Linked DNA regions of Arabidopsis thaliana. The protein of the gene in region 3 binds, or shares a complex with, the protein of the main gene of each other region. Each region holds a gene or a part of one and is shown on either strand. Other genes may lie near its edges. The genes, in order: E2F1, RBR1 and MYB3R-3.

Region 1 (6,194 bases), on a different chromosome or scaffold from region 3:
CTCGATATATCTCTCTTCGATCATCTGATTCATCGACTTCTTGTAATCTTCGAACGGATTGATTGATTCTTTAGCCATCGCGACGCTCTCATCGATCTTAGGACATGGGCTGCGTAAAACCGTGGGAGAAACCGGTGGTCCCGGGGTGTAGTGGCTGTGAGAGGAAGGTGGAACGGTAGAGCCGCAACCGCATGCCATAAAAATGGGTTTGAATATGGTTTTGAGTATATACTTCATCATCTTCTTGAAAGACATTTTTTTTTTTACTAGAGGAAGAGAAAACAAGTTGAGATTATTGAGTGAGGATGTTGGTGTGGGAAAGTTTGTTAAAAGAGGAACCTTTTTTTCATTTAACTTAGCTTGGAGATTCAGCATTGCTCATTGCTTTGGAGATGCACAATTTTGATGGATTTCTTTTTTAAGGAAAATAATACCATCTTGAGGTGAATTCAAAGTTATATATGATATCATTTGTAAGAAACTATCTCGAGTGATATCAAAGGATTGGACATAGAAACCGATTTGAACCAAAAAGAAATCTCTCAAACCACAACCGAACCAATATGTTTTCGTCAAGATTTTTGATGAACGGAAATATGTTTTAGTTTCGATCTGGTTACCTTTTTGGTAAACCGGAAATGGAGCATGTAAAACTACTAAGCACCCGTCTACAACTCTAAAAGGTTTTGCAGTTTCACATGAACAAGACCAATATTAAGAAATCAATGGGCTAAGGCTAATTCTATATTAAGCCTGAGAAGCTAACAAAGAAAAAAAATGAAGAATACAACGAAGGGGTTGGTTTCTCTACTTTTATTTTGCAATCTCTATTCTATGATAATGCAATGCAGCTACTGTACAAGTACAACATTAACTCTGGTTTCACCGAAATCAGATTCTATGTACAGATATATGGTGGTGCTTGTAATGTGGTATGGTAACTTCAGCTACCTGTAGGTGATCTCGTAGCAGTGGATTCTTCTGGTGTTGGGCTCGATGGAGTTTGTGGCTGCTCCAAGATTTTGTTGTCGCTCGGTCCAGCGTGGTCTTGATCAAATGTAATCATCTGGTTCCAGTCTGGTCCAGCTAATGATGAAAGAGTCAAGGAGCTCTAAACAGATATCATATTTGGGGAGGAAAAAACTCAAAAGCTCAAAGAGAGATTAGATTAAATCACAGAAAGTGATAGAAATCAAGGATACATTCATCTGGCCACATGTCTGTGATGCTGACTTCGCCTACCTCTGATCGAAACCAGTAATCTACACCCATCTGTATATAATGTAACATACAGGTAAATATGAATTAAGTCAAGCATGATTTTTTAGATATGGTTACTTTTCCAGACTGTGATTATGTACATTGGTGAAAATTTTAAGCTGAGGAAGCAGTTGGGACTTACATCCAAATCTGGAGGAACAATCTTCATGATACCATCGACAAAGTCATGAGATTCGATGTCAGAGTAAACTCTTTGCGTATCATCAACTTCCTGTGTTTCCATGTTTCTTTCGGTGCTTTCCTCTTTCATCGGCATAGATACATCATGGTTCTCAGGGAGACCAGATGTTGATGGAAGATTTGAAGGTACATCAGGGACATTAGAGGGTTCATCAGGAACATTTGAAGGTTCATCAGCCTGAGGAATGTCCTCAAAGCTCTCTTCGAATTGACTAAAAAAGCACAATATAAATGTCAGTCTCACTTCCATGTTACAGATTTATCCAGGGCAAGCATAACGTTTGAGGACAGTGTTACCTGACTAGGTACACGTCTATTGGTCCCATTGTGCTTCTCAGAATGATTCTGTACCTCCTCTGATAACCACCAGCCTGATTAATGGCAGGATAAGAGGTGAGAATCGTTACAGACAGTGCATCGCTCATTTGGTTTTGTGCGCTCTTAAGCTTACCTCATCAGGATCTGGAACCTCAAGAGTTGTTCCATGCGGTGCCTTTACAGCTATCAGCGTCTTATTCTAAAATAGGCACCACAAAAACATGTTTCCCCAGTGAGAAGAATGCAAGGCAAAGAGAAACACGTAATTACTAGAAGGAGACCAGACCTGGAAGCATGGTAGGTTCTTAATGTCGTTTTCAGTGACGAACAGTAACCTAAAAAGTGGAGCGTCAGAACAAACAGATATGTTTTATTGTACCTTTCGGCAGAAGAAATAGCAGGGGACGCTTACCTTTTGTTGTTTTCATCCTCACTCAAGCTTGTTAATCTTTCTTGTGATTCTCTGCAACCAGGTCGACTCTCAAAAAGATGATACAAAACAGCAGAAAAGGGAAGGAAAATTATCTGCGAAAATACCTGATTTGGTCATCTAATCTTGCCTCCTCAGCTGCGAGGTTTTGTACTTCATCCTGTAAGATTGGTAACAGGAATTATAAAACATGAATAGTTTTTCGAACCAAAAACCCAAAACAAGAAATCAATGCAAGTGACTGAGATCGAAGAAAAACTGCAGTACCAATTTCCACTTATTCAACAGGTTCAAACATAAAACAGAAACTCATCATTCAAAGGTGCCAGTACGGGTATACAAAACAGAGCTTGTGGTTACATGTCATCGATGTTTGTGTGTATGGTAAATTTACTAGTATCCTAGTTACCTCCTAACACATTTAGCTCTCAGAAAACAGGCATAACAAGAATCATACTAATGCAGATTCATACGATGTTCAAGAAGACAATGCAAGCTAAGATATACCCTTAACGTGAAAACAATAATAAAACTGGTGATAATACTGAGCATTGCATAACAGAGTTCGCAGTGAAATGTGCAATGAAAAGGTAAAGAATATATAGGCATGTTCTGTACCTGTAGGTTAGCTATGCTTTCGATTGTTTCTCCTGGTTTTGAGACATCGAGACCCCTAAGACAGACAAGAAAATTCAGAGTACTGTCGCTCACACATGAGTCATCAAATGGAAGGAATCCAAGATTTGACAGTTCTAAGACATGCTTACTTCCACTGAATCCTGTTCTTAAGCGTCTTCTCTATCAAACCTATTCCTTCTAACACATTGGTTATATCATATATCCTTCTCTTTTGTACCTGCATCAACAGGAACATACAGCTAAGTTTGACAGAAAGTAATACATCAATATGGGAGTCTAGAGTTCAAATATGTCACCTCTAAAGTATCAGCTGCTTTGTTTAGATCAAGAATACCATCCTCTGCTTGTTTTATCAAATTGATAAATTTCTTTGTCAAAAGACCTGAAGCAGATTAAATCATTAAAAAAACTTATTATCCAAAAGTACATTTTTTAAACATTAGTTAATGAAATAAGTTATTACCTAACGAACTATCATATCGACAAGTACCGGCCTGTGCAAAGTTATTTCCAGGAGAACCTGCCAACACAAAAGATCCTTCTCACTACATTGCAATATCTCCACTCTTTAAAGAAGATTTAGCTCAGATGAGCACATAAGAAATATTTCTCATTGGCATACTAACACAGAGCATTTAGAACCAAACTCACCTGCATTAGAGCCAGAAGCTAGCGTTCCAGACTTATTAGACTTCGCAGACCTAGAAGTTTTCTTGGCTTTCCCCCCTTTCCCTGATACAGGTGTTTGAAGAACACCGGTATTCAATTCATTGACCTCAACTATTTGGTTTACCAAATCTGTCTTACGCTTCAGCTGCCAATAAAGTCACCAAAATTGAACAGTTAAATACATCAACGAATTGAACAGAATCAAATCCTATCAGCATCATACTGTCACTATGCTGAAATCTAAAAGCATAGACACAACTTTTACCAATTCCAACATAGCAAAATTCAGAAACTAATTTAACTAAACATAAACACAAAAGTGCATGAATCTGCTCTAAATAGCAATAACAGTAACACCACAAACCCTAAGTCCAGCAACTAAACTACTCAATAAGTACTTGCAATGCTAATTCCAATACTACAAACAAGGTTAATCAAAAGAGACCAAACGCAATTAACACCAACAGAAGCAGATCCCGACACAATTCTCATCAAAATCTAAAGCAACGACATCATCAAAATCATAATCAATAAAACCAAACCTCACACACAATCGAAAACACGAGAATTATAAAGCAAAATTCACAAGCAAAATTGAGAAGAAAAAAGACTTACAGTAGATTTGATCACAATCGCGTCAGAGACAACCTGATCAGCAACAGCTCCACCACCGCGAGTCTCCGCCGCATCAAACCGGTGATACTCACCAGGAGCAACTAGAGGAGGCTTCATAGAAGAAAGAGAAGGATGAAGCTGCCGCTTAGAAGATGGGAATTGTTGAGGTACTTCTTCAGACATAAGAACGAATCTCGATAAAAAATCCCCCAAAAAAAAAAAGAAACGGCGAAAATTGTCACGGAAACTCGGATCTCCGGTAAGCAGAGATCCCAATAACGATTAAGAAGCAGATCTACGGCGGGAATTACGGAGATTCCGGGAAGAGAATGTGAAGAGATCGGCGAATCGAAAAAAAGCGGGAGAGGAGAAGAAGATGAAGAAGAGGAAGGATTATAAAAAAAAAAAAAAAAAGAGACGGTGGAAGAGGAAGAGAGAAAACGAGGGAATGAGTTGCGTTTGGTTCTGAATACTGATGTGGAGGGAATTAGCGCTCTTTATCTCTCTCTTTGTACACAAATCTTTTTACCAATATCTCTCTACTAAATAATAATAATCCTATTTTTATATATAATACAAAATTATAAAATTTTAAGTAAGTTTTTTTTTTTTTAAAGTCAACGAAGTTAATAAAGCTATGTAACTAATTTGGATACAGTTTTATTTCCTTGAGATTGAGGGGAAAAAAATGAATTTTGGATTTATTCATGTTAAGAAGTGGAGCATAATAATTTCATCAAACTGTTGCAGCATCCGTTACACGCGTTAAGTGTGAGCAATTATCGTCAAAATCTGTCGAACTTATACGTTTTTTTGTTTTTAATTCATAGGTGAGGCAAAACTATATTGATGAAAATTATGCTCATGAGTGTCTCATCATTTAACAACTTTTTTAAATGGAACCTCGAAACATAGGGATTCCAAATCATAGCACCAAGACAATAGAAACATGTGTCGTCTGAATGCAGACACTTGGATCTCTTATGAATGCTATACTGTTTAGAGAAGATAATATATATTTATAGACTGAGCTTCCAAAACACAAGCTTTAAGTATGACTGTATGAGTAATCAAAAAAGATACTAAGACTTTGAAAGCTTCATACATAACAAACAGAGACAACAATAGAAGAACCCCTTTTTACTTGAACAAATGGGCAAGATCAGGGTCATCTAAATCTACATCAAGCGATCCATTTAACCGCATAAACTCGATGTAGCTATCTGGAGGAGTGATCGCACGAGTGTTGTTCTTCGGTTTGAATCCATGAACTCTCTGGAGATCTCTTGCGAGCCAACGCAGAAAAACTTTGTCCAATGGAGGTACAATCTTCAAATGGATCTCTTCGCGTTCTTCTTTCACCGTTGTAGCTTTGTTTCCCATCTTGCAAAACCCGATCTTTACATACATCATATATAGTATCGTCACATTGTCCAAACCACAAAAACAAGTTATCTAGTCAACAAGATGATTATGCAACACTTTTAGCAGATGCATTTTGGGATTAACACTTAACACAATCTATAATTTCTCCATGCACACCAATATTGCAAGTGTGTAACATTTACATGTTCGGATGCAAATTATCTCGTGAATAACACAATCGTCAATTCGTCATAACCATCTAAAAGGAGAGACTAAAAAGTTCTATAGAAGCTATACACTAACCTTAAGGACCATCAAAACCTTAATTAAGAGACCAAACTATTATACATCAACCAAGTAATCATCTCAGCGTCCATTTTTAAAGCTATCTTTGTTCCACTATGTCCAAGAATCATAAGATCCTCGAGCAAATAAATTGTACAAGATGAGACATCTATGAACCACCAATTCAAGGTCAATTCTTCAAGATGATTAACATGATAATATCAATTAGAAATCAACTCATTCATGAATACTAAGTCTACATTTAAAACCCCTAAATCAATGAGAAAACTGGAGAAATTACTTCAAATTTCTATCATCACTATATACCCAAAAAATCAGGTAAAATCCTAGCCAGCAAATTAAGCTTAGCGATATGATATAGATTCAAGAGATTTTACCTTTTTCAATCAGA
Region 2 (7,977 bases), 1.0 Mb from region 3:
TTGAGAAAGTTTTGAGAAATATGCTGGAGTAGTAAGTTATTCTGAAATCGACATAAAGTGTTGTTTTGCGGCGTAAATTTATAGAGAGCTAAAAAGGTAAGACAGACAATTGTTCAGACAATTTGTTGGTTATAGTTAATTGCTTAACTGTACTGTATATGTTCCAAGTTAAGTAAATGTCACAAATTGTTTTTTTTTAAAGTGGAAAATAAATTTAGTAGATGGGACACCGAACACAGTTAGAAAGAGTGAACAAGAAAAAGACATTTATTAATGCTTATTAAGACTGACTTAACTAAGATAAAAAAAGAAAAAAGAAACAATAAAGGGATCCATCCGCTCATAGCCTGAGGTGATCACTATAAACTAGAAAGCTAAACATAAAAGCAAACTCTGCAACATAAGGATTTACAGATGCTATAACTGAAGAGAAGTTGGTGTAGCAAGTAGAGAGAGATATCTATGAATCTGTTGGCTCGGTTTTAAGGGGTGCGGCACCACCTGAGGACGATGCATCGCTTCCATTTTGGTTTTGATTTTGGTTTTGGAGGTTAAGGCTATTTGCTACCATGGAATCGCTGACCATCCCTGCTTCTGCGTCAAAGTTTAGCGTCCTCTTGCGGTTGCTGCTGCTGCTGTGACACCAGATGAAATTGGATTGGGTCAGTGATTGGTTTTATGGAAGAAGCTGATGAGAGACGTGATTTTTCTACTTACTTGTTCAAGCGGTTGTTGATGGCAGATAGGTCCTTTGAAGGGCTCTGGTAAGCATGTGTACTCTCTCCAACACAAGCATAGTAACTCTTTGTACTGTGTGAAATAAGAGCATCCATCTGCAAACACACAACACATGGAAGGTAACCAAACAATCTTGTCACCTACCTCCTCCTCAAGACTTAGTCATATCATGATAAAGAGTTAAGCACTATGATCTTCTTTACCTTTGATCCCCGAAGAGGAGAAACATAAACATTGTGCACTGCAGATACTTTTTTAGGGGACATGTCTGGAACACTTGGAAACACAGACACCTTTGGCGATCCGGGACATTGACCTGTGAATCCAAAATAAGACGATCATTTAACTTAGGGACTAAATTGATAGACAAAGCTTACATCTAACAAGTATCTGGCCTTTCTTAACTACCTTCAGGCTTATTATTGGCTTCCACAGCCCGGTCGTTTCTTACAGGACCTAGCTCCACCAGCAGCGGCTTTACGGCAGGAATAAATATTTCATTGTAGAATGTGATGATGTCAACATGATCTGGCCCTATTCTCTGTTCAAGTCATTGTCACAAATTTAGTCTTCTCCACCGAGTAAAGAAACTTTTCAGCATAAGGTTAAGAGTGTATATATACCCCTTGACGGCGACATTGTAACGCATCCACATAAACGCTGCGGAAAACTAATGGTTTACACTGTGGTTGCTTCCGGTAGTTGTATATGATTTCCCTGAAAGTCAGGCTCATTTGGGATATCTACAAGGTGATTCATGGAAAAAGTGTAAGTGTAAGAGAAGCCATTGTAAACCAGATGACATATAGTTAAACCCTTTGAATCACACTACTCACCTTGGCCACTCCGTAGAAGCAACAGAGAATGATCTGGTCAATGTGTCGACTGAATAAAAGAGAAGTCCGCTGAGCAAGTACATGTTGGAAGAAACAATACACACTCTCCCTTATTTGCTGTGAAAGTTGTAGTCTTTCCACCATTCCATTGATTCTTACAGCAGCCAATTTATTAATCTGGGAAGAGCCACCACATTTAACACAATTCCCAGCCGAAAATGAAGAATCAATACCGTGTTTTGTAGTACATCATCTAACCAAACGATTAGTAGTAGATCCAAAGATCTCACAGACCTACCTTTGTGAAGAAAATATTGATTCCAGTTTCTGCACAAGTTTCTCCTCCACCTCCTGGGTTGGGCCGTGTTGGGCTGTAGACATAAATCCGAAGAGGTTACTTAACAAGTACAGGGACAACTAGATAGGTAAACTAACTCTCCATTTCTACTCATAGTTACTCAAAATGTACCTGGCAAATGCAGACTGCAACGGAGGTGGCAGCATCTTGGATTTAACGTTGCCTAAGGCCAACAGACGATCCTTTACTGGTGATGTAAAGGAATTGCGTTCAACTAGAATGCTGCGGTAATCAGTACATAATCTTTTGGGCGATCTAATCCCCCCATTTTGTCCTATATGGCAGCAAATTTGACAATTTTTGGTAAGAAAATCATACCATTAACAACAGGTTGGAAAACTGCTTTAATTCAGAAACAAATAAAACTACCTGGACAAGTTTCATGCTTTTGTACAGATGATGCATGATTTGCTCCGTCAGAGAAATTAATAAGTGCTGCGATTGCATCCAGAGATGGCATTGGTTCAGCTAGTAAACCGAGCTGATTTATCTCCAATGCAAGCGATGGCCTGGCAACAATCAGAGAATTGTACATTGAAGAGCCTTTCTCCCATACCATACTCTCTAGAAGCCGTTCCTCCAGTGAATTCAGATGTCGTCTCAACTCTCTAGGCAGAGAATCTTCATGTCGTATGAAACTCTCAATTACCTTGCTGAGATCAAAGGCTGTGATCCCAGTCCTCTCCAGAACAGCTGGGAACAACATTGTAATTGTTTTGTGGGTAGCCAGTACCAATTCAGCTGAGCAAGCAAGCATGCATCTATGGAACCTCTCATTTGTCAATAAAGAGTTCAGATTATTTGCATGCAAAATCTGAGCTTCTGCTTTACACATTGCCTCAAGAACTCTGTAGTATAACTTACAAGCTTCTAATCTGCGCTGCTCTGCCCATATGTCATCCATCAGGTCAACAGCTTGCAAACTTCCACCTCCACATTGGGCACCAAGGGAACTATTTGGGAAAATAGCTTCCAATATTATGTGTGCTCTTCGTGTGACGTCATTTGTTATATCCCTATCACATGATTTAAGGAAATGTTCCAACCCAGGAGAAGGTTTTGGCAGAAGCGGGGATATGACAGTCCTGAGCCACTTGGCAGTTGTCATTGCTGTGCTCACTGGTGTTGCTGCCAACTTGGTAGCACCGCTAATACCATTTGTCTTAGCAGCAGGCGACTTATGAGGAGAAAGTGGGCTTATAAATGTCCTTGCAGGTGAGCTCAAAGCATCAATTTTCCTCTTAACACCAGTAATATTAACAGCTCCTGCAGATAAGCTTCCAGATCCAAGTAAGCTATCCTCTTCATTGATGAATACCCTCTCATCAAGTTCGCCTTTACCATCATAGTAATCCTTTTCAAGTGTAATTAAGCTAGTTGAGATGGACGTCTCTTCCAGTAAATCCTCAAAGTAGGTCAAGCCATCTGCAGTAAAACACCATATAGATTCGAAGAACAATCAGGCAACTGTTCAATGAACTCACATGATTCTTTAATTGAAGAAGGAAAATGATTTTAGACCAACCTGGGTCAATATTATCTAGCTTGTCAGTTTGGCACTCAGATGCTGGAGATGGCTTTTTCTTCAGTATGGTTTCTACCAAATTATTTGCCTTGTCAATTACTATCCTCAACTCATCTTCTGAGGCGTCATATATCTTGCAAAGTGATGCAACCAAGTCTACACCTTTGTCACCTTTCTTAACTGAGATTCATCACATAAATGAAAATAGATGATAAACATTCTATGGTGCCATGGTTATCGGGATAGAAGAAAAGATAAACACTCACCAAAGCGAGAAGAATCTTGGATGCTGAAATTTCTAAACCGACAAGGAACATGTATGATCAAAATAGCCTGATAACATGAAAAGGAGTTAGCCTATACTTCAATTGCGTTATATTAAACGAAGCATCTTTCAAGTAATAATGTACAGCAAGACTAAAATGAATGAAAGATTAGGGAGAGCTCCACAGGTAGTCACTAACCAATATAGAAACTACGCCATTTGAGCATGTCACGAGGTCCTTAAATCGACTAAACGCATGGTTTCGGAGTGCCAAAAAGAGTAGCCATCCAAAACGATAACTATCCAGCAAATAGGTAGAAGAGTTTGCTGAGTTCTTTTCTGCGTTTGCATCATATGTCAAAAAGAATTCCCGGAACCCACGTTTGTAGTATCTGTTACCAAGGAAAGGTACCAAAAACATCATACTTTAACATGTCCTTAAAACAATTCACAGAATATAATCACATGAAAACCAGAAATCTGTAACTCTAAATCTTAATTAATTTAAAATTGAAGGAATATTGCAAGCCCATATTCTGATTATTGCATAGGAAGAAAATTTGCTTCTAAGTTGCAGGTCCAAAATATGAAATCTATGTCAATAACTATTCTTACACAAAACAAAGATAAATGTAAAATAGGAAGGGAGCTAAACTCACTTGCTTAGAAGGCTAAGATGCACAAAGTTAGCCTGCACCTCCTTTGCCTAGTAAGTAAAAATTAGTTAATAGAAGCATATTTAACAATGATATAATAGAAGTAGAAGTATATTTAAAAGATGTTAGTCAAAACCTGAAGTCTGTTCTCCCAGTCTGCGCCGTAAAGTTCACCCAGTACAGATCCAGCCTTGACCACAAACTGAGGTAACTCTTTAAAAAAATCCACAATACTATAAACAGAAAAGAGGAAAATCGTCACTACAAATGAATTTAAGAATGACAAGGAAGGAAGAATTGAACACTACTTACTTTAGCTTCAGAGCCCTCAGTATCTGACATAGATTAAACTCATTATCACCAGACACTGACAGACCATCCGCTTCTTTTCTCACACTAAGCCTCTTCACTGAATAGAGAATAAACGCAAACCAGAACCTCTCTACTTCTTCCCGCTAATAAGAAGAAGAAAAAAGGATTTAGTCATAATGAAACCACAGTTAACTGATAAAAGAGAAGTTAGAGGAAAAATGTATTTCACCGTTCCACTTCCAATGTTAGACATGCTTGCTGACAAAATTCGTTTGGTTTCTGTAAACAACTTCAAAGCTTCATCGCAAGTGCTCCCATCAAGAGACAGAACTTTCTGCAATAAGAAATCAACTACAGGGATTAGAGCTAGTCCTCAAAATTTCCGAGAGAACTCAAATGGTATCTTCAACTAAACAAATGCAACTAGATCAGCAAAGAGAAGAGTAAACCTCGCATATGTCCAAGAGAGAGGCTTCGCTTCTTTTCCCATTTGGTTCAATGGGCGGGGTCACTGGAGGCTGAACTTCTTCCATAGTCTCCAACGCAGCTGAAAACATGCAAAATCAAGCTAATTTTACTTCCAATTAAACTGCTAACTGAAGACGAAGAAAAAGGGACTTTTCAAGCAAAGAGATTTGTTAATTTAATCACACTGAAATTCAATAGGAACCATGCCCAACCCATTCGGAAGAACACACTAACAGACATGAGAAAACAAACTCCCAATTTCCCAAAACATGGCAGAAAGACAAAATTTGGGGGAAAAAAAGAAGAGAAATTGGGGCATAATCTAAAACCCACCACTCCGGAAAAATTTTACCCAGATGTTATCTTAAATATTCATTCAAAGTTTTTCTCTTTTTTGTTTTTGGAGAATTCTCTCACCAACTTACAATCGAATAGCGAAATATCAATAGAAAATTTCAGATAAACCACCTAGAGGATAAGATTTCAAATCAAAGGATAGGCAATAGAGAAAGATCTTACCTTTTTGTGTCACAGATCCCAATACCAGACGTCGCCGATTAAAGCCTGAGCAGAAGATCTGATTTTTAAGAAGCCCGACTTCTAACGCCTCCTCCAAAAAATTCGACAAATTCAGAGGAATCACAGAGATCTCCGAAAACCCTACAAATTTTCCCTCCTCTCAGTGTCTCTCTCTATCTTCACCTGACTTCCCTCTTCTCTCTCTAGAATGGGGTCTGATTATGCGGCAAACCCTAAAAAAGGATATATCTCGCGCGGGAAAAACAACACGGAGAATACATACACATACGTATACAATTATATTCGCGCGCTTTCAACCACTATTAAATCGACACGTACCCATCTGTGACCCAATTTTACCGCCAAAACTTACTTACTGTTGCGTGAAACGCTGAGAGGGAAAGATTCGCCGTCACGGCGGGGTCGAAACAAACGGAGTGGGCCATTAACGCCGTCTGGGTTTTCGTGACCGCGACAAAGCCTCGTGTGAGTTATGATTGGGCCCACCCTTAATACGATGCCGTTTCTAGTTTAGGTCACGCGGGAAATTACATATTTGCCATTGTAGAACGTTTGGTTGCAGAAGTATGAGTGTCCTATCCGCGGATGGATTCAGATTAAGTCTTCTTCGTCATCTTCGAGTGTGAGTGGATCCAGAGAGAGAATTAGATATTTCCGACACGAGGCAAATTCCTAGTGGCTCATGGCGTCATCATCTGATCACACGGCGAAGATAATCGACGGCAAGGCGATTGCTCATACCATCAGATCAGAGATCGCCGAGGAAGTTCGCGGTCTATCTGAGAAACACGGCAAGGTAAACGCATCTTATGAATCAGTGTCCTAATCTTGACATGTCTCTCCTTATAATTCTCCGTTCTTTTATAAGATGATAGCACTATTGAAAATTTACTCTCTTTTAGCTTTATGGTTTAAAATGACTAGATTTAAGCAGCTATGATCACAACCTTCTATTGAAAATGCTTAACAGGGTCAAATGTAAGCTCCATTTTAGTTAGATCACTGTTATTTTGTTTCGCTGGATTTTTGAGCTGCCTGCATTACTTCAAGTGGCATACTATCTTATTTATACAGATAGTGTGTGCTAAGCTTATAATGTTTGATATCATTGTAATAAAATAGAAGGAACGAGAGTATGTGTAATAAATGGTTTAGTGCGTTTGTTCAGTTGCTTCAGTTGGACCCCTTTATATAGTTTCAAGAATGTACGAGATTCAATCGAATCTGATTTTACCTTCATGCAGGTCCCAGGACTAGCTGTAGTTATTGTTGGGAGCCGAAAGGATTCACAGACCTATGTGAATACGAAGAGGAAAGCGTGCGCTGAGGTTGGGATTAAGTCATTTGACGTGGGCCTACCAGAGGAAGTTTCTGAAGCTGATCTTATTAGCAAAGTTCATGAACTAAATTCAAATCCGGATGTCCATGGTTAGTTGTGGCGGTAAATAATACTTGATTTTGTATGTCTTCTCGGTTATCATTAGTCTAAACTATTAAGGATAGATAGAAACTTTAATGTCTATGCAAGTCTTTCGTTTTGGTATAAAGCAAACATTCCTTGCTCTCCTGTGCTTATATAAGCTTTGGTGTTTGATTTGCAGGCATATTAGTTCAACTCCCATTGCCGAAACATATTAATGAGGAGCATATATTGGGTGCAATCAGCATTGATAAAGATGTCGATGGCTTCCATCCTTTGAATATTGGTAAGCTAGCCATGAAAGGCAGAGAACCCCTCTTCCTTCCTTGCACCCCAAAGGTACTTCTCCTTTTTTTGCATATAGACTTCAGTCTCTTTCAAGCGAGAAATCTCAGTGTTCTGTTTTTCTTCTGTATCAACTATGAGGTGATTTTCTGTGTGTGCAGGGATGTTTGGAACTCCTAGCTAGAAGCGGCGTAAAGATAAAGGGGCAACGAGCAGTTGTTGTAGGTCGGAGTAACATTGTTGGTTTGCCCGTTTCACTTCTTTTGCTCAAGGCTGATGCTACTGTCACAACTGTACATTCTCACACCAAGGATCCTGAGGCTATCATACGGGAAGCTGACATTGTTATTGCTGCATGCGGACAAGCCCACATGGTGATTTTCATACATTTTCATTGTCATTTAGAAGATAATTTAGTCTACCTCTTGTAGATCAATGTGAATAGTTTACAATTCAAATATACTATCGTTTTGACATTTCAGATTAAGGGCAACTGGATAAAGCCAGGGGCTGCAGTAATTGATGTTGGAACTAATGCAGTCAGCGACCCGAGCAAGAAATCAGGATACCGGTT
Region 3 (5,301 bases):
AGAATAACATGATACCCATTGATGACATATGGTTTCTCAATCAATTTCTGATTCTTTTTTCTCTCTCTTCATATAGGAAAAGCAACAAAAAAAAGCTGAGGAAGCAAAGAACGCGGCTCCTCCAGCCACAGCAGTGGAGGCGGTACGCCGAACGCTTGATAAAAAGGTTAGAATGTCAGCTTCTTTGATACCTTGATACTTGAAAACGAATATGCAAAAAAAGATAAACCGAGTATGCCATGTATCATCTGTTAAAAACCTGGCCTGGAAGTACATAGTCAACAACATGGCTGTCGAAATTATTAGCATTGAAGAAACTTTAGAGTCTGTGTTTCTTCCTTTTTCCTGATTTTGAGTGTTGACTCTTACAGAGACTTAGTTCGGTGATCAACTACGATGTTTTGGAGTCGCTATTTGATACATCCGTAAGTTTTTGATTACCTCTTCTTGTATCCTCAATTCTCATCACTTTTTGAGGTCTTTACAATTTTGCTTCTCTTTTCTTCTTTCAGGCACCTGAGAAATCACCCAAGAGGTCGAAAACAGAGACAGACATTGAGAAGAAGAAGGAAGAGAACAAGGAAATGAAGAGTAATGAACATGAGAATGGTGAAAATGAAGATGAAGATGAAGAGGATGAAGAAGAAGGCAATGTAGAATCATACGACATGAAGACAGATTTTCAAAACGGCGAGAAATTCTATGAAGAGGACGAGGAAGAAGAAGAGGATGGTAATGATTTTGGATTGTATTGATGATATGTATTGTGAAACACAAGAGTTTTAATTTCTTTTGTTTTGCCGGATTAGTTGATTTTATTTGCATTAATATAGGAGAACCCCAACTAAATTTATTCTTTATTATCAGTAACAAATATTTAAGATTTAAAAGAAAAAAAAGTTCACACAAATGATCTATTTATTTTTACAATTCAAGTGGTACTGACTAAGAAATGAAAAACCACTAACTTAATTAATTTAATAAAATCTATATGTATTTAATTTTGATAATTTTATTTTCCTTGTTTATGATAATTCTAATTTCTATCAGATAACAACTAACAATCACTGAACTTATCTCACCTATTTGATGAGCTAAATGTATTTTAAATTTATTTTTCTATAAAGATATAACTGAAACAAAAGTGATGACTTTTTATGAAAATTCCCAAAATCAAATACCAGAAAATTCAATTTTAAACAAAATGTGTCGGTCCGGATGATCTTACATCTAGCTTGGTTTTACAGGATAGTATTTAAGAAGAATCATAAAGTTCATCTCAAACCAAATCCGACGGTCCAGAGTCACCTGCAAAGCTTGGCATCGTATACGTGTTCAGTGGTCAACGGATCAGCTACGAGTGCCGTTTGAGGTTCAAACTTCTGTTTCTGAGGTTAACTCTCTACCGTTAACGTCCGTTAGTGTACCTTCTAACCTTGACGACTTTTCCACTTTCCAAAAGATAACGACGGCGTTAAATTGGTCTATTTTACTGAACCAGCTTTAACCAGAATTAGATTGCATTACATTCAACTCGTGCTTATGGATAAATATCAGTTCGGTTTGGAGAAAATAGGTTACTTAAGGTAAAAAGAACGGCAAGTAACGGTGTGACGTCAGCAGAAGAAGTATTCGTTATAATAGTGAGAGAGAGAGAGATAAAACTTAGGGAACCCTTTTTTATGTTTTATTTTCTCGCTTTGTTTCGATCAAGTCTTCTCTTTCTCTCTCTATCCCTCTCTCTCTGGTTCAACGGGCAAAGTATTTTTCGAATAAAGTTTTGGTTTTTTTTTTAACGTTCCTTTCGCCTTCTTTCTTCTTCTTCTGCTGGTGAATTCGTGTATCTATCTATCTCGATGAGCTCCACTTTTAATCCAGCCGCTTCTTCTCCAGATGAGGTTAGTTTTTGTGTATCGAATCTGAATTTTTAAGGGTTTTGTTCTTGTGATCAGATTCTAGTGAAATTGAGTTCTTTGTTGTTTGGCTCTGATTCGAAACGAATTTAACTTTATTGAAACTATAAATTTTTGTGATTACAATTGTTATAAACCCTAATTTTGCTGTGGTTGGTGTTAATGTTGAGCTGTTTACTGAATTCGTGATTTGTGAGATCTGGGTTCTGTCTGCTTTGTGTTTTACGATGATTGCTTTTTTAGGGTTTCTCTGTTTCTTATCAAAGTCTGGATCTTTTTTTTCTTTCATTGAGATGATGGATCTTCAGGAAGAAACAGGTGAAGTGAAAATTGAGGATCAGTGTGTAGAAAATAAGCAATCAACACCTGCTTCGTGCTCTTCTGTATCTGAAGGCAGTGCTGGTAGTTCCCACAAGTCACCTACAATTGCAAGTCCTGCCACAGTATCACCTACTCATAGGTACCTCGGGTTAGTTCGTCTCCTTCTTCTTCTTCCTTGTTTTGTATCTCCTCCGCAGCACTCGTTTGCGAATTTGCATCTTTTCTACAAGAGATTGATGTTGATAGTGTTTGGTATGCAGGAGGACGAGTGGCCCTATAAGGCGAGCCAAAGGTGGGTGGACTCCGGAAGAGGTTAGTATTGAGTATTGACTAGTGATTGCTTTTGACCAATATCAATTTTGGATCAGTAGTTCGAAATTCAAGATGTGAGTTGTTTTACTTAATGCAGGATGAGACATTGAGACAAGCAGTTGACACGTTTAAAGGCAAGAGCTGGAAGAACATAGGTAAGTCTCTTCTTCTTTTTAGATTCTAGTTCTCATATTAACAAGAGTAATGTCAGTGCTACAACATACTCCATAGATTTGTGGTTCGAATATTAAAGTTGGAGCCTACTTGCTTACAGTAACTATTAGTTCCATACTCTTGTCTCTGTAGTTTTATGAGTTACTCTTGTATGTTAACTTGATCATCTGAGGCTGAGCATCTAGTAGAAAGACTTTCTTTTACGTTTGTTTCCGTTTTGTTCCGTGAAGCATTTAGTATTGTTTGAATTGGTGTATTCATTTTTGCAGCGAAATCTTTCCCTGATAGAACTGAAGTTCAATGCCTGCATCGGTGGCAGAAAGTTCTAAATCCAGACCTTATTAAGGGACCTTGGACACATGAGGTTGATTCTGTTTCTGATTTTATTTATTATTTGGCTTCATTTTTTATGTGAAATACGAAGGCTTAAAGTTTGTTGTTTTGCAGGAGGATGAGAAAATCGTTGAACTGGTTGAAAAATACGGGCCTGCGAAATGGTCTATTATCGCACAGTCTTTACCAGGTCGAATTGGGAAGCAATGCCGAGAGAGGTAGTTAATTCATATGAGCCAAGCATTTTTCTTATAGTTATATTGGAAGCTTTAATGTGTTTTGATATGTATGCAGGTGGCATAACCATTTGAATCCTGATATTAACAAGGATGCTTGGACCACAGAGGAAGAAGTAGCTCTCATGAATGCTCATCGAAGCCACGGAAACAAATGGGCTGAAATTGCTAAGGTCTTACCCGGCAGGTATTTTTACTTTTCTTGGCATGCGTCATTGGAGTTGAGACTTTAGAGAAGGGTTAGCTTCTGGGTTTAATGAAGGTTTTACTTAAAACTTGCTGCAGGACTGATAATGCAATAAAGAACCATTGGAATAGTTCATTGAAAAAGAAGTCAGAATTCTACTTATTGACTGGTAGGTTACCACCACCAACAACAACAAGGAATGGTGTTCCTGATAGTGTAACCAAACGTTCATCGTCTGCTCAGAAAAGGGTTTTTGGTTCAGTTGCTCAAACCTCATCAGTAACTACAGATGTAAACAATCTCGCTGAAGACGGAAATGGCCAAATAAACTCATCTGTTCCTGTCGAAGAAGTAGTAGCTGCTTCACGAATGACTAGTCTTAATGAGTATGCTCGTTCTCCTCAGTTGCCTAACCCAGAGCCATTGCCAGAGAATGGTGGAGCTGCAAATAATGGTTATCATCTGTACTACACGCCTCAAATAGACTATTACAGGGCGTCAGAAGTGGATACGCAGCGTATGTATGGGAATGAATGTGGTTGCAGTCCAAGCGCATCACCAGTTAGCTTCTTCACTCCACCGCCGTGTAGGAATGTGCACAGTAACGGTTCGACTCCAAGAAGTCCTGAATCTTACCTGAGAGAAGCTGGTAGAACTTACCCAAACACACCATCCATATTCAGGAAAAGACGACCCAGGGTTGTTGTTCAGGATAACAACAACGCCAAGAAAACAGATGAAGCTAAAGAGGTTGATCAAAAGGTGAATGATGGTAAGGATAGTTCAGAGATTCAAAATAATGGATCAAATGCTTACAATCTATCTCCTCCATATCGGATAAGATCGAAAAGGACAGCAGTTTTCAAATCAAGACAGCTTGAGTTTATATCTAGAGAGGAAGAGAAAGCTGATGATGAAACCAAATCATCTGAGAAAGATATGTTGATTGATGGAGATTCTCAACTCCTAGGCTAAACAGTGACTAGATGATTACACGCTGAATGTTGTTTCATTGGTTATATTTTTATTTTTGGGTTAATGTTAGAGATGTTAGATGTATTTAGTCCAAAGAATAATTTACACCTCATAGTTGAGCTAGGTTTTTTTTTTCCATAACAAAAAAAAGATCTTCAGTAGTGGGCCATAGAAATTGGTGCATGTTCTTGATTATTTGATTGATATGCGTCTTTGATTATTTGAACATTGAATCATTCGTTCACCGATGTGAACAATATCACTCTGCTTTGAATTTTTTTCTAAATAGACTTTATGATGTCATTATTCAAACGGGTAGGTAATTTACAAATCATAAGATAGTTTCACATTGACAAAAGTGTTTTAGATCAAATCAGCTATATTCTTTGGCAACTCGTCAATCTGAGTACTGTAGTACTGCTCAATGTCCCGGAGAATCTTGATCTCGTCGATTTTAACAAAGTTGATTGCAACACCCTTACGTCCGAAACGACCAGACCGTCCAATACGATGAATGTAGAGCTCACGGTTGTTAGGGAGATCATAATTGATGACAAGAGAAACTTGATCCACATCAATCCCACGTGCAAACATATCTGTTGTGATCAAAACGCGACTTTCACCTGTCCGAAACTGATTCATGATCTCGTCTCTCTCCTTCTGAGGCATGTCCCCATGCATTGATGAGACAGTGAAGTTGCTGCTCCTCATTTTCTCACTAATATAGTCCACTTTTCGTTTTGTGTTGCAGAAGATAACAGCTTTAGTGATGATAAGTGTGTCGTAAAGATCACATATTGTCTCAAATTTCCACTCCTCTTTCTCTACAGAAATAAAAAAGTTTTTAATT

What was found.
Region 1: MYB3R-3 (region 3) and E2F1 share a complex: the UniProt entries of both Arabidopsis thaliana proteins name them as parts of the DREAM-like complex.
Region 2: MYB3R-3 (region 3) and RBR1 share a complex: the UniProt entries of both Arabidopsis thaliana proteins name them as parts of the DREAM-like complex.

Annotation. Positions count from the first base shown.
Region 1 is NC_003076.8:7,358,870-7,365,063, reverse strand, and holds E2F1 (E2F transcription factor 1), read right to left. Parts: upstream 4,530-6,194; 5' UTR 4,316-4,529; coding exon 4,133-4,315; intron 3,663-4,132; coding exon 3,500-3,662; intron 3,369-3,499; coding exon 3,312-3,368; intron 3,231-3,311; coding exon 3,145-3,230; intron 3,066-3,144; coding exon 2,977-3,065; intron 2,883-2,976; coding exon 2,828-2,882; intron 2,370-2,827; coding exon 2,317-2,369; intron 2,243-2,316; coding exon 2,192-2,242; intron 2,115-2,191; coding exon 2,066-2,114; intron 1,979-2,065; coding exon 1,913-1,978; intron 1,833-1,912; coding exon 1,759-1,832; intron 1,674-1,758; coding exon 1,403-1,673; intron 1,273-1,402; coding exon 1,203-1,272; intron 1,087-1,202; coding exon 944-1,086; 3' UTR 559-943; downstream 1-558. Other genes in the region: OFP10 (Ovate family protein), read right to left, coding at 1-375; AT5G22210 (aspartyl/glutamyl-tRNA (Asn/Gln) amidotransferase subunit B), read right to left, coding at 5,273-5,515. UniProt on the Arabidopsis thaliana protein: Transcription activator that binds DNA cooperatively with DP proteins through the E2 recognition site, 5'-TTTC[CG]CGC-3' found in the promoter region of a number of genes whose products are involved in cell cycle regulation or in DNA replication.
Region 2 is NC_003074.8:3,913,211-3,921,187, forward strand, and holds RBR1 (retinoblastoma-related 1), read right to left. Parts: upstream 6,150-7,977; 5' UTR 5,678-6,149; intron 5,238-5,677; 5' UTR 5,224-5,237; coding exon 5,140-5,223; intron 5,025-5,139; coding exon 4,920-5,024; intron 4,834-4,919; coding exon 4,691-4,833; intron 4,612-4,690; coding exon 4,515-4,611; intron 4,429-4,514; coding exon 4,382-4,428; intron 4,115-4,381; coding exon 3,922-4,114; intron 3,791-3,921; coding exon 3,724-3,790; intron 3,638-3,723; coding exon 3,458-3,637; intron 3,358-3,457; coding exon 2,302-3,357; intron 2,207-2,301; coding exon 2,044-2,206; intron 1,946-2,043; coding exon 1,873-1,945; intron 1,752-1,872; coding exon 1,575-1,751; intron 1,482-1,574; coding exon 1,362-1,481; intron 1,280-1,361; coding exon 1,147-1,279; intron 1,055-1,146; coding exon 942-1,054; intron 834-941; coding exon 718-833; intron 636-717; coding exon 461-635; 3' UTR 139-460; downstream 1-138. Other genes in the region: AT3G12290 (Amino acid dehydrogenase family protein), read left to right, coding at 6,381-6,494, 6,943-7,126, 7,300-7,457, 7,565-7,777, 7,886-7,977. UniProt on the Arabidopsis thaliana protein: Key regulator of entry into cell division. Acts as a transcription repressor of E2F target genes, whose activity is required for progress from the G1 to the S phase of the cell cycle.
Region 3 is NC_003074.8:2,877,678-2,882,978, forward strand, and holds MYB3R-3 (myb domain protein 3r-3), read left to right. Parts: upstream 1-1,675; 5' UTR 1,676-1,856; coding exon of another isoform or gene 1,857-1,898; 5' UTR 1,899-2,140; coding exon 2,141-2,382; intron 2,383-2,494; coding exon 2,495-2,546; intron 2,547-2,643; coding exon 2,644-2,701; intron 2,702-2,989; coding exon 2,990-3,084; intron 3,085-3,167; coding exon 3,168-3,271; intron 3,272-3,347; coding exon 3,348-3,476; intron 3,477-3,574; coding exon 3,575-4,451; 3' UTR 4,452-4,678; downstream 4,679-5,301. Other genes in the region: AT3G09360 (Cyclin/Brf1-like TBP-binding protein), read left to right, coding at 77-166, 372-425, 513-755. UniProt on the Arabidopsis thaliana protein: Transcription factor that binds 5'-AACGG-3' motifs in gene promoters. Transcription repressor that regulates organ growth.